Linked DNA regions of Mus musculus. The protein of the gene in region 2 interacts with the protein of the main gene of each other region in a pairwise test. Links are inferred from orthologs where the notes say so. Each region holds a gene or a part of one and is shown on either strand. Other genes may lie near its edges.

Evidence for each region. The genes of interacting proteins can lie anywhere in the genome.
Region 1: the proteins of Gpsm3 (region 2) and Gnai3 interact in binary tests that used the Homo sapiens proteins (3 or more experiments, as listed by UniProt). The two-hybrid records come from large-scale screens. The link is inferred for Mus musculus from reciprocal best matches to the Homo sapiens genes GPSM3 and GNAI3.

What each region holds. Positions count from the first base shown.
Region 1 is NC_000069.6:108,122,153-108,125,652, reverse strand, and holds part of Gnai3 (guanine nucleotide-binding protein G(i) subunit alpha), read left to right. Parts: intron 1-1,815; coding exon 1,816-1,858; intron 1,859-1,969; coding exon 1,970-2,111; intron 2,112-3,500. UniProt on the Homo sapiens protein: Heterotrimeric guanine nucleotide-binding proteins (G proteins) function as transducers downstream of G protein-coupled receptors (GPCRs) in numerous signaling cascades.
Region 2 is NC_000083.6:34,588,421-34,592,294, reverse strand, and holds Gpsm3 (G-protein-signaling modulator 3), read right to left. Parts: upstream 2,490-3,874; 5' UTR 2,074-2,489; coding exon 2,035-2,073; intron 1,835-2,034; coding exon 1,732-1,834; intron 1,554-1,731; coding exon 1,354-1,553; intron 1,126-1,353; coding exon 988-1,125; 3' UTR 541-987; downstream 1-540. UniProt on the Homo sapiens protein: Interacts with subunit of G(i) alpha proteins and regulates the activation of G(i) alpha proteins.

The DNA of each region.
Region 1 (3,500 bases), on a different chromosome or scaffold from region 2:
AGCTTTGAAGTGAAAGAGTGGAAATTTCAATTTTGCCACTGCTGTATAACTGGACAAATTACTTGACCTTTTTGCTTGATTTATCTCATTATAAAATGAGGGTAATGGGGCCCACCTTACAGAGGTGTGAGGGTTGAATGAGTTCATATTACCAAGATACCTAGAATGCCCTGCTACTCGTTACTCATTGCTCTTTAACGTTTACTCATGAATAGTGCCTTAAAGCATCAAGTTAGGCAAGTTAGAAAAAAGCATAGGGTCTGGAGAGGTGGCTCAGTGGTTAACTGAGTTGTGCTTCCAGAGATCCTGAGTTCAATTCCCAGCAACCACTTGGTGGCTCATAACCGTCTGTAATGGATTCTGATGCCCTTTTCTGTCATGCATACATTCAGGGAGACAGAGCACTCATATATATAAATAAATAAACTTACATAAGTATAGGTAGAGAAAAAGACAAAGATCAACTTTGAAAAAAGCTGTCTTGAAAGGCAGGGGAAGGCCTAGAAATAACCACTGAGCTGTTTAGAAATGGTTTCAGTGAGTGGTGGCGATGAGCTGGAGGTTCTTAATTAGAGATTGTAAGGATGGATGACAGGCTAGGGAAATTTTGCCATAAAGGAACACAGAGAGGGGCAGCAAAGATAGCTCAGTAGGTAGAGTTGCTTGCTTTTTAGTCTGAAACCTCAGTTGATCCCTGGGACCTTCATGTGGAAGGAGAAAACCAACTCCTGTAAGTTGCCCTCTGACCTCCACACCTGTTCATGTGAGTTGTCACTCTTCCCCCAACCCCATAAACACAATAGATCTTCTAAAAAGGGAGGCACAGGGAAGGTGGAATAGCAGATAGAAGAAAGTGAATGTGTAAGGGGATGTCAAAGAATGGTACTGGTGAGTTGTGTAAAGATGGTAAAACAACAGCCTGTGTGCTAAGACATCCCAGTAAGAAGAAAAAATAGTGATACTTTGGTGACACTAGAAATTGCAACAGCTACAAGTCGAGCTGCAATGAAGTTAAGTATATAGTCAGAGCGATAAGGGCATTGAGACATTGATGACATAGAGAATGTTAATGGAGATACATACAGGTAGACTAGTAGATTTGGTTATGAGAAGTGGAGTAGTGCTCTCTGATTGCCTTCCACTTTCTCTAAAAAGGAGGAGCAGGACTGTCATTTATGAGTCAGAAGTAGCATTTGATGCTGGGGAGAGTGGTAATGTTACAAGAGGCATTTTGGAAAATGGAAGAATTACTAATCAGGAAAGACCTAGCAGGCAGACTATCAAGATCTGAAAGTTTATTTGACCTTTGATCTTTAGTTTAAGAGTGATTTCAGTCATCAAAGGAGGCTGTGTAAATCCTCCCCCCTCCCCCTAGAAGAGCTGACTCATGAAAGGTAAAGGCAACGTGAGTTCTGCTGATACTTGGAACTTCTCTAGCTCTGTGACTAGGAGGGTTGCTTATGGAATATTCTTCAGGTCCATGGCAGGTTACAGAATTACTAACTATGAGTAGGCCATAGGCCTATTTGTTGCCTGTGTTCCTTGAGTATATCATGTTTTATGATGTTACTAAAAATATTTGTGTTGCTATCCTTGAGTAATGTCTGTTTTGCACAAATGGTATCAACATTAAACAACAGCAAAATGCTCTAATTGAAAACCAGTTTTCCTAATAGACATGAAAGCTCACCAAAATTCCCATTTGGATCTATATCCCCTAAGCTAGACTTCCTAGTTGCATTACTTACTCCATATCTGTTTGATTACAAAGAAATTCAAAATCTGTTTTTTTGTTTTGTTTTGTTTTTTTTTTAGGCGCTGGAGAATCTGGTAAAAGTACCATCGTGAAACAGATGAAGTAAGTTCACACAGGGCCTTTTAAGACTGAATTTCCTTCTCTTCATAAAAAGTTTATAATGCTTTCATTTTCCATTCATGGTATTGACTTGCGGTTTTCTCCTTTTTGAAGAATCATTCATGAGGACGGCTATTCAGAGGACGAATGTAAACAGTATAAAGTAGTTGTCTACAGCAATACTATTCAGTCCATCATTGCAATCATACGAGCCATGGGACGGTTGAAGATTGATTTTGGGGAATCTGCCAGAGCAGTAAGTATTTCTCATTTCCTCTTCACTTGCTGCTCTTCAGTAGGCACAGTTAAGCCAAATTTGTGTCATGTTTTAGGGAACAAGAAGATAAAATGGTACAAAATACCGTGTGTCTGTTTTTGAAGTGTTAGGTCTGACTCAGGAGACAGTAAGTTACCGACGCATGCAGAGTCCTGGAAATGGGATTCTGTAGCTGGGCTGTGTGATGGCTGTGTTCAGTTGCTTCCTTTGCCACACCATTGACATATATTTTATAGTAGTTGATGATGCTAAATGTTACTCTAAAAGACAGGATGTATATGTTGTATATTTAGTCTTGCTTTCAGAGCTGTAGGGGGTCAAAGGGAAAAAAATTCCCCAAATAAATTCTGTAAGGACATAAACACTAGCATCCCAATTTTAGAGGTGATTTTGGGTGTTCAAAAATATCTTATCACTGTCTTTCATTGAATTCAGGGTTCAATTAGAATTGGGTTGTTACTTATTCTAATATAACTCTTTAATGCTTTATATATATCAGAATTCAAAAGTCAGTTAATAATATTTAGTACACTTTGGGCAGTTTGTGAAGTAGGATGTTTGAAGCCAGTGGAGAAAGGACCAAATGAAGACAGGAGATCTTCTTATGTTGTTACCAACTCAATTTCAAGAACATGCTAGAGAAGTATAGAGTCCATCAAAGGATGTCAGCCATGTTCCGTGGTGCAGTTCTTAAGTGCCCTGGGAAATAAATGGAAGTGGAGGGGGTTGGGATGGAGAGGGCTTTGCCTGGAAAGACAAAACCTGTGTGCTTGTGAGCAGCCTAGGGACGGCTATGAGCTGCTCAGTTTATCAGCTGCAAGTTAGGGTTGATAAGTGGGAAGTGAAAAGGAAAATATTCAGAGAGCTGCTGTGGCTTTGACTTGTTGAGTAGAATATATCTTGGAGGTGAAATAAGAGATCAGGAACTAGTTAAGGGTTGTGGGAGAAAAGAATAGTAAGAAAAGAAGACTAGGAAGATATGTGAGCGACTTTTACTGTCTTGTAACAGAGTTCAGGGCCTCTTCTTCCTCCTGGGAATGGTACTCGGCCTCAGCTGTGCAGGGTGAGTCCGTGGACAACATTTAGCCCGCAGGCTGTTTCCTGCCCCTTTTTTTCTTTTTCTCTTTTTTAAATTTTGTTTTTAATTATGTGTATGTGTGTGTCCACATGTGCATATTGCATGTGTGTGGATCCCCTTGAAGGCCAGAGGAGTTTGATTTTCCAGAGCTGGAATTACAGGGAGTTTGACACTACTTCGTGTGGGTGCTGAAAAATCAAACTCTGTCCTCTGAAAGAGCGGAACGTGCTCTTGACTGAGCCATTGCCTCATACCCCGTTTCTGATGTTTAGAGACTGTCTTACCTGGAG
Region 2 (3,874 bases):
GGGGGTGTGTGTGCGAGAGGAGGGAGGAGGGAGAAGGGGGAACGAGGGAGGCGGCTGGGGGAGGGGAGCGGGAGGAAGAGGAGGGGAGGAGAGGAGGAACGGGGAGGAGCCGGGGGCGGGGAGACGCAGGCCAGGCGGCGGCGGCGGCGGCGGGTGGAGGCGGGGAGCGGCCGGGCGGCCGGGGAGAGACTGGGTTGGCCTCGGCGCTGGCCGAAAGGGCGCTGGGGTGGGTGTCTCGGCCACCTGGGTTCCGAGGCCATGGTCGGGTGGTGCGGACTCCGGCCTCTGGAATGTTCTCCGACAGCTCGGTTCATATTTCTTGTTCTAATGACTCCCCTCCTTGTTCGACTTAATTAAAACCGGGAGACTGGGGGCTGGGGGAGATGATTAGGGAGGTCTCCAGCCGCTGCTTAATGAGCCAGTAATTAACCAGCCAGGGAGGGGAGCTGGCCTCTGGCCAGATCGCTGAGAGCGGCTGCCCCAGGCCTCACCTACCCACCTTGCACCCCCCCACACACACCCCCAGATACCAGTCTTCAGTCCAGAGGGGAATTATGTTTATTCATACAACCAAAACATCAGACAGACTCAGCAGCAGGGTGGGGGCGGGGTAAGAGTCGCTTCACCGCCTCTGGGCCCCTCTGCCTTGGGGCCTGAGACTGCTAGTGCTGGACAATTGTCTTACTCTTCCCTTTTTTTCTCACTAGGCAGGGGCAGGCCGCAGCCCTCACACCCTGTTTAGTAGCTTGACAGCTCAGGATAGAGACTCTTTAACTGTCCTCGGGAGTTGTGTCCACCCTACCTTGCTTATCTTCATGGTTAGAGTACTTGTCCCAAGTCCAGTCCCCAGGGAAAGTGGGTGGTAAATACAGCAATTTTAGCCGGGTCTTCCATCTCTGGTTACCCCTGCCAAACAGGGTTGAAGACCTTCGGGGAGTGTCCCAGCTTTGAGTCCCAGAGAGAAGGGACTGGTGAGGAGCTCCGGTCTCAGCAGGTGTGTGTAGGAGGCCGGGATCTCTGCTCCTCCATTCGACCTCCACCCTGAACTCTCAGCAGCAACTCCAGAAGCTCCTGCCCCCCGGGGGGAAGGGGCGGGTCAGACCGTTGGGCTTCAATCCGCTGGCACTAGAAACGTGGAGGGAGAAAAGGGCATTGGTAGCCCATAATGGTTTTGGGTAAGAGAGGCCAGGGTTGGTGTGGGGCAGATAGGAAATCTGTGATGGGGATGGGGAGACTAGAGGCTTACCAAAGGACATATGCTTAGGGACAAAGAAGTTAGGGCTCAGGCAGAAGGCCAGCTAGGAGACCTGGGTCTTGTCTCCATGGATGCATGTGGGGTGGGATGTGCCTTACCTGGTGACTAAGGATGGTGCTGTAGAGCTGTTCTTTGTCTTCAAGAAGCCGGGGTGGGGCTGGGGCTAGGTTTGGTGGGGCCTCGGGGGTGTGGAAGGTGGCCCTCTGTTCCTCTAGGCGGCGGGACTGGGCTTCGGCCACTAGGTCCAGAAGGAGCTCAGTCTGCAGGGAGAGCAGGGAGCCAGAACGGGGCCCTAGGGCTATGGGAGAGGAAGGAGGAGGATTCAGACCCAGAGGCTATGGCAGAATGGGAGTAGCAAGCGGTGGGGACAGGTGAGCTGGTGGACGAGCTAGGGACCAACAGGTGTGATGGTTAGTGGACCTACACTGGGGTAGCCTGGGTGATAGGGTCAAGATCTTCCAGGGTTGGTGGGGTACCTGTGTGTCGGGTTCCAGGAGGAGGAGGGGAGGGAGGAGCAGATCTCCAAGGCCGAGCGGTGGCATTCACAGGGGGCCATCCCTGATCATCCTGCGGGAGACTCTGATACCAAGACATGTTGTTCATTCCAGTCAGAGGTGTGTGTGGGTGGAGGGCTAGGCCAGTGACCCATTTCCCCTGTGTTTTTGTTCCTGTCTTGGTGTGCCCAAGCTTTCCCAAGTCTCCTGTGTCCACCCGTCACTAGGTCCCACATGTCCCTTCTCCCTGGGTTGGTTCCCCAACCCGGCACCCCAGCAGCTCACCTGTTCACCATCTTCTTCCTGGGGTCTTTCAGCCTCCATCCCTGGACTTGGGGAGAGACACTGATGGGGAAGAGTAGCTGGAATTTGGGAGGAGGACCCGGAACCTTGGGTTCCTGAGGGGAATGGGGGCTGGACGGGGTGGGGGTGAGCTGGGGGCTGGATGCCAGGGTACTGAGCAGGAAGCCGGGTTCCTGGTCAGCCCCCCCATGGGCCCCGCCCAACTCTGTCAACTTCCTCCATCCTCTTTTTCCCACCCAAACAGCTTGTTTGACCTCTCTTGCCCCAGGGGAGGACAGAGACTGGGAGAGACTCCAGCTGCAGGAGTGGAGCAAGCTCCTGACAGGGCGGATTCCTGCCGGCTCATCTCCAGAGCCTCAGTAACCCCCTAGCCGGCCACACTGCTCCACCATCCCCACCTCCCCTCCAGCTCTTCTCTGTCAACACCGGAACTAGCTACAACACAGGAAGTGGTTTCACTCTTCGGGATCCCCCTCCCCCAAACCAGGTTCATTCTCTCCTTAAGACTGATCCTGATTAGGATTTGACCCTTCTCATCTCTCTTGACTTACTGGATCAGGGAAAGACATGGTTCTGGTGGGGGCGGGGGGGGGGGAGCAGAAGACTTGTTGACCCCGGATGCATTCCTCGCAATACATCTTATGCCCTAACACTGGCCCAACACAGTAAAAGTAGCCAGAGACTGGGGCTGGAGTTATCACTGCCCCAAGCATTGCCGACGGTGGAGAGTATGAGGGAATGTCTACTGGCGGCCAAGCTAGCATAGACAAGGTTGAGGGGAAAACTTGCCTAGGGATTTGAGAGTGGAATACTGACTTTAGCTCAGCCTTCAATCAGTTCTAGTAGCTCCAGGAAGGGAGCAGAACGGATAGACATCTGGGGTCTTCAAAAGGCTGTCTGCCCTGTGAAGTTGGAGCCGAGTGACTCGGAGCATGAAATCGTATGAAGAGAGCCTCAAAGTGTGAAAGGGTAAGGTGGGCTGTAATAGGTTTCTCTGCTGATATAATGAGCCAATTCAGGCCAAATTAAAAGTATAAAAAACAAGCATATAAAAGTGTAAGAGGCAGAGAGGGAGGGGGCGGGAGGGAGGGAGGTAGAAAGAGAGAGAGAGAGAGCACAGAGAGAGGGAATAGGTAACCAAGATGTCTGGATTATATAGGGTAGAGAGCCTCTGGGGGAAGGGCAGTTCAGGCTGTCTGGAAAGTTCAGGGCAGGGGTAGGGGGCAGGGTATGATAGCCATATCCTGTAGCAGGTAGGGACTGGGGGTTGCTGGGAGAACCTGGAGGCCAAGTGAGCTAGCTCTGGTACGTTAAATAGGCACCTCAACTGCGTGTCATTTACCTCACAGCATTACTAAGGCTTACTGGTAAGGAGGCACTTTGGCACATGGTGAATGCCCTTCAAATGGTGGATAATCTTCCAGAATGCCTCCTGGTTTATCAGCATTGGGGTAAAGCCTAATGAAGTATGAGCAGTTCGAGACCCTCCTGTCTTTGAGCCCTTAGGGATCTTTGTTATAGCTAAATGGTCTTAGATGAGGGACACAGTTATCACCTTGTATATTTGAAAACTATTGGAGATTCTCACTTTCAGTGATATCCCAGATGAACTGGAATTCCCAGATTGTCGGTTTGCCTTTAATTTATATTTAACCCCTCACTATATGAATGATTCTGGAGTATTGAATTTCCCAAACACTATGCACTTTTTCCATCTCACCCTTTAGTCCCTCAGAAGATAAAGTAGCACTTCAAATTAGCTTTATTATCCATGAGTTTGGGGTTCTCGGAGATAGCAGTGACTGGAGAACATGGCCTCATC